3 linked regions of the Cricetulus griseus genome follow. The protein of the gene in region 2 interacts with the protein of the main gene of each other region in a pairwise test. Links are inferred from orthologs where the notes say so. Each region holds a gene or a part of one and is shown on either strand. Other genes may lie near its edges.

Region 1 (4,002 bases), about 18 Mb from region 2:
GGAAGAGCAGCAAGTGCTCTTAACCACTAAGCCCTCTTTTCCAGCCCTACCCTCAAGTCATCTTGCACATTGCAGCTAAAGGAAAATTTCAAAAATCTCTGGATTTCCAGGACATAGATCAGGACCTGGCATATTGTGAGTGCTCTGTGTTAGGAAATGAATGTTAGCTTCCAAACTCTTTGCTTTAAAATCTCCAGGTTGGCTGGGCAGTGGTGGCGCACGCCTTTAATTCTGGTACTGGGGAGGCAAAGACAGGAGGATTTCTGTGAGTTTAAGGCCAGCCTAGTCTACTGAGTGAGTTCCAGGACAGCTCCAAATCTACAAAGAAACCCAGTCTTGAAAAGCAAACAAACAAACAAATAACCTCCAGGTTGTCGTGGATTGAAGGCTTTTTGCAGACAGTCATCTATCTCTAGAAACCTTGCATGAGCTACTGAAGGCTGGCTCATCTTGGCTTTATCTTCATACCAAGTCCAGGTCTCCAACAAATTCTCAGGGAGTGAATGGGTTAATGAAAAGCAAAGTGTGATGGGGTCAACACCGTTCCAGTCTAGGCCTTCTACTCGTTCTCAGGAAGGAAGGAAAGAGAGATGCTTCCTGTGTGGGGCTCCCAGGAAAGCCTGGAGGAAGAACTTGGGAAATGGTTCCTGGGGGACTTTGATAGAAGAGGAGTCTGCCCAGGAGGGAGGGTGCTGAATGCAGCCAGCCCTTGCTAGCAGGGAGATTAGTTGAGGCTTTATGCTAGGGACTAAGGGAATGATGAATAATGGGTGAAGTGAGGGTGAAGACTGGGCCATACTGTGTCACAAGTCACCAAGGGGATCAGTCGCCACCAGGAAAGGCTGGAAATGTCCTCCAGAGGGGTCTGCTCTGGGGTGCCCCGTATTGTGAGGGGAGAGGGAGCCCACTGCCCAATGAAAGCAGGCTTCCTTTGAGAAGGGATGAGTGCATGTTGAGGGTGTTGAAGGAAGGTGGAGCTTGCTGAAGTGGTTGGCCAGGGAAGGGGGCACTGTTGTGGGGAGAGGGGTACTGACTTTAGGAAGAAGGGCTCCTCCTGGGAGGGGACTGTGAAGAAAGGTCCAAGTGGAACAAGGGTGGAGAACCACTTTACAGAGGTGAGGTCCTAGCCTGGGGCCATGTTGAGCAAGCTCTCTGTCCTGCAGGCCCACCATGGGGAAAAACAACAGCAAGCTGGCCCCCGAGGTACTGGAAGACCTGGTCCAGAACACAGAGTTCAGCGAGCAGGAGCTAAAGCAGTGGTATAAGGGGTTCCTGAAGGACTGTCCCAGCGGCATCCTCAACCTGGAGGAGTTTCAGCAGCTCTACATCAAGGTGCAGGGTGGAGCATGGCATGGCGGGGTGGACGGGTACTGGGGACCTGATTGAGAGCTGGTGGAACTCAGAAGGATGTGGTCGGCAGGGAGGGTGGGTCTGTCGCTGCGCCCCAATAACCCGTACCCCTGCCTCAGTTCTTCCCTTACGGAGACGCCTCCAAGTTTGCACAGCATGCTTTCCGCACCTTCGACAAGAACGGCGATGGCACCATTGACTTCCGGGAGTTCATCTGCGCCCTTTCTGTCACCTCCCGTGGCAGCTTCGAGCAGAAGCTCAACTGGGCCTTTGAGATGTACGACCTGGACGGCGACGGGCGCATCACGCGCCTGGAGATGCTGGAGATCATCGAGGTGCGGGGGCCCAGGGTGGGCGTCCAGTGTCCTTGAGCCTCAGGAGACTCGTAGCTGCTCCCCAGTGTTCTCCCACCACAGTCTGCAGACCCCTTGCTCAATGCTTATCCCGTGGGGTAGATAGTGTCAGATACCCCATTTTCCCAGATGAACAAAGGGAGCATGTGGCAGCCAACAGTCAATCAAATCTAGAGTAGCCAAGTCAATTCATTTTGCTTTTTCAAGAAGTTAATTATTGAGGTCAGGAGAGATGGCTCAGCATGTAAAGGTGCTTGCTGCCAGGTCTCACTACCCGGCTTTAACCCTGTGACCCTACATAGTAGAAGGAGAGAACCAATTCCTACACGTTTGTCCTTTGACCTCTGTCTGATCTCAGCCAGGCCATGTTTCTTGCTCTGTGTAGCTTTGGAGCGTGTCCTGGAACTCCCTCTGTAGACGGCTGGCCTCGAACTCATAAAGATCCACCTGCCTCTGAGTCCCGAGTGCTGGGATTTAAAATGTGTGCCACCACAGCCTGGCTTTTTTTGTTTGTTTGTTTCGTAGTTTTGCTTTTAAAAAACATCTTAAGTGTCTGCCGTGTGCTTTCATAGGAGACCCTTCTAGTAAGTCAGTAAGTAAATTTGGGCCATGCCAGGCAGTAATTGGTGTGAAAACAGAGATAAGCAAAGTAGAGGAAGGAAGAGGGCGGCACGAACTCTCAGGTCCCCAGAGTGAACCACCATGCAGGTGAGGTTGTGTTCACCTGGCTCACAGTGTGGCAGGAGGCCAGGGCAGTAGTGGAGGTGTGAGCAGAGGGGAGAATGGCAGGAAGATGGTCCCACAGGGAGACAGGGGTCCCGTCAGTGGCTCAGGCTAGGGTAGAGGCATTGAGTGTATTCTGAGTGTTGAGATCAGATAATTGAGGAGATGGTGGGCAGAAGGGGCAGTCGGACCAGTAAGGAGACTTCCACAAAAATCCAGTCAGGACTGTTGGAAGCTGCCTTCATGCATGAACTGTGGAAATGGTGGAAAGCAAGTCAACATAGGGCCGTTACAAAATTAGAGTTGACATTTTTTGCCGAAGGAGTGTGTGTGTGTGTGTGTGTGTGTGTGTGTGTGTGTGTGTGAGAGAGAGAGAGAGAGAGAGAGAGAGAGAGAGAGAGAGAGAGAGGAGAGAAGAATGACGTGAGAACTGAGCGGCACACCTCTGTAATCCCAGCACTCAAGAAGCTGAGGCAGAAGGATGGTGAGTTCAAGACTAAGCTGAGCAACATATTGAGTTCCAAGCCAGTCTGGGCTACTGGTGAAACATTGTCTCAACAAATTTAACAAATGATGGTTTAGGGTTTTGTTTTGTTTTTGCTTTCAATTTGGCAGAGTGGAGTTGTTACTTGTTGAGGTGGAATTCTAGAGGTACGGCAGGTGAGAAGTGGGTTAAAGAGTTGAGTTTGAGGCATGAGTCATTTGAGTGCTCATTAGGTAGACAGTCTTTTTTTTTAATTAATTGGGTGTGTTGGTGCACACCTTTTTCTTTTTAAAACAATTTTATTTAACATACCAATCCCAGTTCCCTCTCCCTCCCATCCTTCCACTTCCCCCCCCATCTCCCCATCCCACCCCCCATCCACTCCTCAGAGGGTGAGGCCTCAAGTGGGGAATCATCAAAGTCTGTCACATCACACCCTCACATACTCTCACCCGCCCTGTATCTAAGCTGACCAAGGTATCCCTCCATAGGGAATGGGCTCCAAAAAGCCAGGTCGAGCACTAGGAATTGGTGCACAGCTTTAATTCCAGCACTCAGTGGGCAGAGGGAGGTGAATCTCTGTGAATTCAAAGCCAGCATGGTTTACATAGTGAGTTCAAAGCCAGCCTTGTCTACATAGCAAGTTCCAGGCCATTCAGAATCACATGATGGGTAAAGAAATGTGTGCGTGCGTGCGTGCGTGCGTGCGTGTGTCTGTGTGTGTGTGTGTGTGTGCACGCATACTCGCGTGCATGAGTGATATGGAGGGTTACATTTCCACAGTGTCATGTGAGGTCAGAGAACAACTTTGTGGAGTCAGTTCTTTCCTTCCACATTTATGTGGGTTCTGGAGAACAAACTCAGGTCTTCAGGCTTGTGCAGCAAGCTGCTTCCAGTTCAGCCCTCCAGCCAGCCCTAAAAAGCCAGTCTTAACAACATGTCTCTTTCTAGTGTTTTCACCGTCCTCCAGTATCTTCTCAGTCCACTCCCAGACAGACCCCCTTTTATCCATCCTCAGCCCTCCCTGCCAGTTGGGTGTTCACACCTCTGTCATTGCTCCACCAGGCTATCTATAAAATGGTGGGCACCGTG
Region 2 (4,296 bases):
GGGGCTCCAGCCCCTTGGTGCAGCATTGCCTCATAACCCATGCACAACCTTCCATACACTTTATTTTCTCATCCTTTTCTTTTTCAAGGCAGGATCCCATGTAGCCCAGGCTGACCTTGAACTCACTATATAACCAAGGATAACCTTGAACTTCTGATTCTCCTCTTTCTACCTCCCCAGAGCTGGCATTATAGGAGTGACATCACCCCTGCTCCCATGCACTGTACGTCCAACTGTGTCAGGATTATTTGCGATGCCCCATGTCTGATAAATGCGGTCGTTCTGCGTTGTGTTTGGAGCAGTGATGACCACATATGTTCCTTCCAGACTCAATTGTGTGTTTAAGTAACACGGTTTATCTGAGCTGGATAAACCTACATCTGATAACAGCAGGGCCAGAACAGAGCCATCTCTCCTCGGACTTTCCTCAAGAGCTCAACTGCGCAGCCCTGAGCAGACCCCCCAGGCTTGGCTTTTGCTCTGCACAGGGCCTTCAGCCCCCACCCAGAACCTTGTTTTAAGCCCTCCCCACCCCTCAGGGCTGGCTCTAGTGACCCATGCTGGGTAAACAGATCCAGTGACCCCTCTGCCCAAGGATGGAGTGAGATGAAATTTGCCTCAGATACGGGGAGCCTGGCAACGTTTGCCAAGGAGTGGCTGGTCACTCTGAAATCCTGAATGGGCGCATGTGACTGCACACAAGAGTGTATGTGTGAGCTGTGGAGACCGTATGTGCAGGAGGGTGTGTGCATGAGCCCTCTATCCAGCCAGGAGGCCACTATATCCTGGTCCTCCCTCAGAACGCTCATCCTGGGCCAGCATCCTCCTATGCACAGGTGACTATTAAAAAACTCTGACTTGGGGGAGGTGGCTCAGCCGGTAAAGGCACTTTCCGGGAAGTATGACCACCCGAGTTTGGTTCCTAGGATCCATATAGTGGAAGGAAATAGCCTCCCCATAGACTCCCCCAAGTGTCATTTGATCTCCATACTCATGCTGTGGCGCGCGCACGCGGACACACACACACACACACACACACACACACACACACACACCAAGTCTCCATCCTCAGTGTGCACAGTGGGATGAGATTCCTCCTTGCAGAATTCCCCGGTCCCAGCCCCCTCCCCTGACCTTGAGCTCCAGACAGCAGGTGCGGCTCAGGTCTGAGGCTAGAAGTCTTCCTTACAGGGCCGAGTCCAGGTTACCCCGGGCTGCGACAACAGGTGCACAGGCACGGAGGGGGCGGGGCGCACCCCAGCACCGCCCTCCGCGCTCCCTGGGTCCCCCCCACCCCCACCCGCAGCGGCGTCGCCCGGTCCTGGCAGCTGCGGGCGCGGCGCGAGGCGAGGCGAGGCGATCGGGACGCGACAGCGGGGACGACGACCCAGGCGCTAGCGGAGGCCGAGCCGAGCAGCCCCGGCCGCGGAGACATGAGCGCGCGGCCGCCCGCCGCACCCGGGCGCAGTGGCCCGGCCCCGCCGCCCCGTGATGGGCTCCTGCGTGTCGCGAGGTGAGGACCCAGCGGCCCGGGACGCGGCGAGGGGCGGGGGTACCAGCACGCGGCCCCGGGGACGCCCAGGGTGGGTGTCCGCCCTTCACGGACCAGTAGCGCCCCAGGGGACGCGTGCTCCGTTGGGACCGGGCTCGGCAGGAGAGCGGGCAGCGTGCAGAGCGCGGAGCGGGCGGAGGTCTCCACACCCCACGCCCCACTCGGCACCCGGCAGGTGGCATGAAGCAAGGTCCCCGGTGCCATGCTTTCTTCCCTGCAGCCACACGCCTCCTGCAGTGTGCCTGGGAAGGGAGGGCGGCTTCCGGTTCTTTTGGTCCTCTTACGGGCCACTGAGCTCCAGGAAGATAGCAGACCTCGCTCCTGCTCCCCAAGACGCAGGCCTTCCTAGCCCGGGATCCCGTTCCCTCCCGGTGCCTCTGTCCTCAGCCCTAGAAACCCCTTGGGGGGTCAGGAGGGACGAACAGGTTATCAAGGTTGGCTTTGCCCCACCCTCATCCCTAACTCCATCCCCACCTCCATCTCTGCCCAGGGGACAGGAGTGGAGAGAGGACAGTTGATGTTCCCAGTAACCCCTGGGCCTTTGTCTCTGACCTGGCACCTTGGTTGTCCCCAAGGTGATTCCAGGGAACGAGAGTGACTCTATCTGTTGGCGCGCGCCGCGCGGAGTGGGGGGTGGGGTGGGGGGCGGTACCTGTCTGTGAATGCGAGTGTAGGGTCTTTCACGGAGGCTGGGGGAGGGGCATATTTGTCTTTGGGGTAATCTTTTAGAAAAGAGGTTGGAAGGTGTCGGGACATGCCTGTAATCTCAGGAGTGCAAGATCCAGAGTTCAAGGCCAGCACCCACAGCACAGTTTGTGGCCAACCTGGGCTACATGAGACCTTGTGTCAAAGCAAAACAACGCCCCCCACCAAAAAAAAGGTTGGGCCATTGTCCCACTTGGGACTCTTACCCTTCGTGGGAGCAGGGGGCAGACTGGGAGTGAGAGTGTAGAGACCAAGTCTCCTCACCCAAGGTCTTAGAAGATTCCACTGGCCGCTCCAGAAATTTACACAGCAGAGAAGGATAAACTGGTCTGAGAGGGGGCTGGGCAGGCCCTAGAGGGAACCTTGGTCTGGGGAATGTTGAAAAACCATTCCTCCCCCTTCCTCTGCACTCTGAGGGAGTTCTGTCCCAAGTTCATGGAATAGTATTCGGGCAGGTGACTCAGGTCCCTGGAAGGTGTCAGCAGTGGGGTCATGGGTGGGGGAGGGGAAGAGCAGGGTCAGTCTGTGTGAAGTTGGTTCAGACTGACTGATGGTAACATAGCAGGGCTACCTACTGGGTGTCCTCCACTGTGTTAGAAGAAGTGTGGTCCTGTACGACCTGAGGAACCCAGCATACCCCGGCCTGTGAAGCTCGGTGGAGTGTAAGGATGGGTCTCTCAACTCTAGGCTCTCAGAGTCGGAGCCTCCCCAGAAACCCTGCAGTCTCCCTTGGCCGGAGTTCTAGCAGTTAGGTATCTAGATGTTTCCTTAGTGACAGGTCCCTTGGTCAACCCATGCTCACAGCTGTGGGATTCCAGCCCCGAGTGCACCTGCCTGGGAGCACAGGCTCCACAGAGTACAGGACAGAGGCCAGACAGACAGCAGGGACGCCTGCCAAGGTCACACTATGAGGTGGAGACCTGGGTGTCCCATCTCCCATACTCCCTCCACGACCCCTCAGCCAGGGCTGTCGAGGTCACACTGGCTGAGACAGTCACTCTCCACCCTTCCTCCTGCATCCTGAGTGCCACCCCAAGATCAGGCTGCATTTTCTAACCCTCTCCCCATCCGGAGAGGACAGAGCCTGACAGTCTCAACATGTACTCCAGCAACTTAGAAGTGAGAGGTATGAGCTGGGTGCTGGTGGAACACTCCTTTAATCCCAGCACATGGGAGGCAGAGGCAGGAGGCTGTCTGTGAGTTCGAGGCCAGCCTGATCGTCATCCTCAGCACCCTTGGCCTTGTGGGTCGTCTCAGGCTTCCGTGGCCTCCTTGGTCCTCTGCACACCTGGACCACTTGTTGGCCATAGTCCCCACCTGCCAAGGGTTAGCATGGGCCATGTTCAGAGCCTGTAGTAGAGGTCAGGGGTCATGAACTTGGCACTGATGCCTCACAGAGCCTGGAGCCTGCAACCAACTGGGACTACCCAGTTCCTCCTACTCCAGGTGCAGGCGACACCTGGGAGATCTGGGGGATCAGGAGACCCGTCTGCAGTCCCTGACCCACTGTCCCCAAGTGTGTGAGCTCACCAAGTTGAGTGGGGATGGTAATAGAGTGGGAGTATAACATGGGGTCGAGAGGGTCTCAGTGCAAAGACCACCCCACCGTCAGTGCTGGCACCGCCAACATTCAATAGCCACTCCTCTCATGGGCTGGTGCATCCTACAGACAATTGCTCCAGGCCTTCTTGGTGGTAAAGGGGACTCCTCGTGCCTCTGAGGGAGCAGTAGGTGCCAGGCATTTGCGTTGAGGACAGTGAGATACTGGCCATACACACTGCATCTAGGAACTATTTTGTATTCCGTATCTATTTGTATTTTTCAGCATTTCTTGTTTATTGGTTTTCGAGACAGGGGTCTTATTCTGTAGTCCTGGCTGGCATTGAACTCAAGGTCATCCTCCTGCTTCTCCCAAATGCTAGAATTTCATGTTGGGGCCACCACATCTGCCCCAGTTATCTTTTTTTTTTTCTTGTTTAAATAGGGTCTCCAATAGCCCAGGCTAACCGTGAACTTGCTGTGTAGCTGAGGATGACCTT
Region 3 (4,075 bases), on a different chromosome or scaffold from region 2:
GCCATTCTGGCTCCATGATAAGAAAGCTTACTTGGCTCATGCCACTGTGGCCCAGAATGAGAGGTCCATGATTCAGAAGCATCAAGCCATCTCCGCCCATTCATTTAAAAACCTTGCCATGCACCATCTTTCTATCAGCCCCCAAGGATTCTGAGGTGAAAGACAGACTCTGCCTTCAAGGTATTCAGAAGTAATGAATGAGAACAGACAGGTAAGCCATCTTTAGCAGGACAGGCTATTTTCCACATAGTTAAGCAAAACATATCTGCCATCTGTGGGCTGTATCTCAGACTTAAGAGTCCATCAACCCTCTTCATATCGAGATAATGAGACTGATTTCCCTGGGAAAATGCATATCAAATATGTGAGTCCACCTTACTACTCATTCCCTCAAAATGTGTTTGTGGAACATCTAATAGAAATTACCAAGGACGGAAAGACAGTCATCCCTCATTCTCTTGGTCTCTGTGTATCTCTCTGTCTCTGTCTCTCCCTCCCTCTCTCTCACAAAAAAAGAGAAAGAAAGAAAAAAGGAAGGAAGGAAGGAAGGAAGGAAGGAAGGAGAGAGGGAAGGAAGGAGAGAGGGAGGAATGGAGGGAGGGAGGAAAGAAGAAAAAAACTCCAGTAGGAAAATAAGGACACCGTGGAAGCTCTACCAAGAGAGGAGAGACCTATGATGAAGGATCGCTCCACCATGAAGATCTTACCGAGGAGGTCAGATGTGAACTGGGGTTATGTAGGCAGACAGGAAGGAATTGGCTAAGATGACAAAGGGAACATCATCCTAGAGAACTTGGAGGTCTGCAACGTGCAAGCTCTGAAACTTATAACTGCTCATTATTGTTACCATATGGAGTAAAACAACAGACAGGAAGAAAGTGAGGCTACTTAGCAAACAGCAGAATATGTGCCATGCTCAGGAGGTGGCGCCGTGTGCTGTGGACAAGGGGGCAGTGCTGAGGTTTGAAGAGACAAGTCCAGTGGTAGGGTTGGTGGCTCAAAACTGTACTCATGCAGCTATGCCCTGTGGGTTAGGATAGAACCCGGGGAGTGAGGAAGAAGGAGAGCCTGGTGAAGTCTGGCCTGGTGGGGGTGGGGGTGGCACAGAGGCACAATCACTGAAACAGGCCATAACAGGACTTTGTACATGATCTACCCACTCTGGGCACACCTGAGCAATAACATTGACTGTGACTGTAACCAAAAGGCATGAAGTTATGCACTTGGTTCTCCAGAATTATGACTCATAGCCCTGACAATGCCTCTTGTGTGTGAGAGAGACATTCATCCTCTCTCAGCCAGTGGGAACAGCTTGAGGCATCGCAAATGATCCATGGAGAATCTGCTTTTTCTACACTGCTGAATTTCTACAGGTATTTGGGGAGTGGTTTCTCATAACTTTTAACCTATTTCTTATGATTAATTACTATATATGTGCCAAGTGTGATTTTGGTAAGTTTTTCTCTAATGAGCCAGCCAATCCAGCAATGTGACCCATCTCTCTGTTTTTCCTTTTTCAACATGAGTCAGATCTCTCTGACCCTCCAACTTTTGCTCCTCCTCTTCTGATCCAGAGATGCTTCCATCCTCTTGTGTATCTCTGCTGATGCAGTTTAGTCTTGTAAATCCAGTTTCAAACCCTAGCTTTGCATTTCCTTGGTTGTGTGATCTTGTAGAAGTTACCACAGTGTTCTGAGTCTCGGGGAGATGTCCTGGTCCCTGTTGAAGTATGTGAAGTGCTCCATCTAAGGCAGTGATTCTTAATCTTCCTACTGCTGCGACCCTTTAATACAGCTCCTCATGTTGTGGTGACCTCCATCCATAAATCTATTTCTATTGTTACTTCATAACTGTAACTTTGCTACTATTATGAATCACAAGGTAAATATCTATGTTTTCTGGTGGTCTTAGGTGACCCCTAAGAAAGGGTCATTAGACCTCTAAGGGGATTGCATCCCATAGGTTGAGAACCACTGATCTACGGCTTTCTCCAAGCCAACATAATATATTCAGTACTTACTGCTGTGAGGTGGGATTCTAAATAAGGAAAATCGATGCCTCTCTATCAAAAGTAACAAAGTAACAGCCTGAAAGTTTTGGCGGCCCATCTTTTGATTCTGAGGCTAACAGTGAATTACAGTTTTCTTACCCAGATTAATTAAATCTCACACCTGAGTACCCACTCATTTCCACATCCAGCTGTGGAATGCCACAGTAACTTATAATTAAGAGACAGTTGCTAATAAAAGACTTTGAAGTGAAATTCAGAGCAGAAGTGAACAAAAGACTCCCGATACAGGGCAGAGTTGCTGATCCCAGAGCACCTTGGTCAAACAGAGGAGCTTGGAAAATAACTAGCCACCATAAGGTGTCCTCGGAATGGCTCCGTGCTGCTGGGGTGATGCCAGGATGGAAACTTTCCTGGAAGTAATGAGCAGGGTTTGCTTTCATTATAGTGAAATGCCTGGTCTATGTTGGAGCAGGTTACTGATAAAGGATGCAGGAGCTGCTTTAGGAAGAGATTAAAATAATTACAATAGCGAAGTATAAGATGGCATTTTCCCCTCAGGGCTGTTGCAAGTATAGACCTGCTTAAAATGCATGGAATAACTGATCCACTTGAGTTCATTCTTTAAAACCTAAATCACCCTGCTAGTTACATCTCTCAAACATCTTCTGGGACTGTTCTTCTCAAGTGTCCTCAGATTGTCATGAATTTTTTTCAGTCACTCTGGAGTTTATTGGCCACAGTTTAATGATTTTTATTATACTAAAATGACATTAAAAGGATTTTAAAATGTTAATAATCTAGCAAAAGTACAACTATTTTAATCTCAAGTTATTCTTTTTCGTCTTCACCTATGTATTTCTTAATTAAGCATCCGGTAAAGCTGGATCCTGTTACATCTGCTAATTTATTTTATGAAGCAATTGAAAGAGGACAATAATTAATATTTATGTATCTAGCACACATAGATACTTACAAATCCAGGAGGCAATCTGGAGATTCTAAACCTGAGCTGTCCTCCTACTCTATGCTCTGCTGTGACCATGCAATTTACAGTTCATGTAGGAGACATGACTTCATGCACTGATATTTTAACTTTGAATGATTAAATGTGACAGGATGAAATATAGTTGATGAAAATTCACTAACCAATCTTTAGGGAAAGTCAACACTGAAGATAGGGAATGTCTAGAAATTAGAAGAGTATGAATTGATGTGACTAATAAAAATGTTTTCATTCAATTAAAAAAAAATCCAGGACTTGGGAACTAGACCAACCAAGACACTACAATAGATGGTCAGGTTTTTAAACTTTTGGTTATAAAGTCTTCCCATGGGTCTTGTCCATATCTCTCCCAATATCCATGCAAGTTAAGTGTAAAATTAGATGCTTAGGTATCAAGTACCAGTGAACTGTAACTCAAAAGAGTAGACAACAAGCTTCCATATACCTGTGATGAACATCAAGTAAAATGGCTCTCTGGTTTCCATGGAAGAATCAATGCCTTGTGACAGGTGACACAATGACAGGGAGCTGCACAGACTGCAGGCTCCTCCAAAGGGGTTTTCCTGTTCCTGTCTATTCTGGAATACTAAGTGGAAGAAGGATGCAGACTCAGGGAGGCTGGGATCAGACAGGCAGAAGTGAGTTCTGGCCACTGTGCTGACTACGTCAATGTGGTTTGTGGTTTTCTGCAGGCACAATGGGGAAACAGAATAGCAAACTGGCCCCCGAAGTCATGGAGGACCTGGTGAAGAGCACCGAATTCAACGAGCATGAGCTCAAGCAGTGGTACAAGGGGTTCCTCAAAGACTGTCCAAGCGGGAGGCTGAATCTTGAGGAGTTCCAGCAGCTGTACGTGAAGGTACGAAATTCCCTCTGCTTCTCATCTCCAATGATATCTGGCTAGCTGCAATTCTGGTGGTGTTTCATTCTAACTTTTAAATCACTGTTTTTGATGCAGAGGTGTGTGTGTGTGTGTGTGTGTGTGTGTGTGTGTGTGTGTGTGTGTACACATGCATGTGTGTATGTGTGTGTGAAGCAATTTCTGAACAAGAAAACTAGTT

Evidence for each region.
Region 1: the proteins of Fam131c (region 2) and Hpcal4 interact in binary tests that used the Homo sapiens proteins (3 or more experiments, as listed by UniProt). The two-hybrid records come from large-scale screens. The link is inferred for Cricetulus griseus from reciprocal best matches to the Homo sapiens genes FAM131C and HPCAL4.
Region 3: the proteins of Fam131c (region 2) and Vsnl1 interact in binary tests that used the Homo sapiens proteins (3 or more experiments, as listed by UniProt). The two-hybrid records come from large-scale screens. The link is inferred for Cricetulus griseus from reciprocal best matches to the Homo sapiens genes FAM131C and VSNL1.

Annotation. Positions count from the first base shown.
Region 1 is NC_048595.1:29,808,491-29,812,492, reverse strand, and holds the start of Hpcal4 (hippocalcin-like protein 4), read left to right. Parts: upstream 1-1,170; coding exon 1,171-1,332; intron 1,333-1,469; coding exon 1,470-1,685; intron 1,686-3,975; coding exon 3,976-4,002. UniProt on the Homo sapiens protein: May be involved in the calcium-dependent regulation of rhodopsin phosphorylation.
Region 2 is NC_048595.1:11,885,824-11,890,119, reverse strand, and holds the start of Fam131c (protein FAM131C), read left to right. Parts: upstream 1-1,491; coding exon 1,492-1,513; intron 1,514-4,296.
Region 3 is NC_048600.1:21,347,996-21,352,070, reverse strand, and holds the start of Vsnl1 (visinin-like protein 1), read left to right. Parts: upstream 1-1,256; 5' UTR 1,257-1,373; intron 1,374-3,706; 5' UTR 3,707-3,711; coding exon 3,712-3,873; intron 3,874-4,075.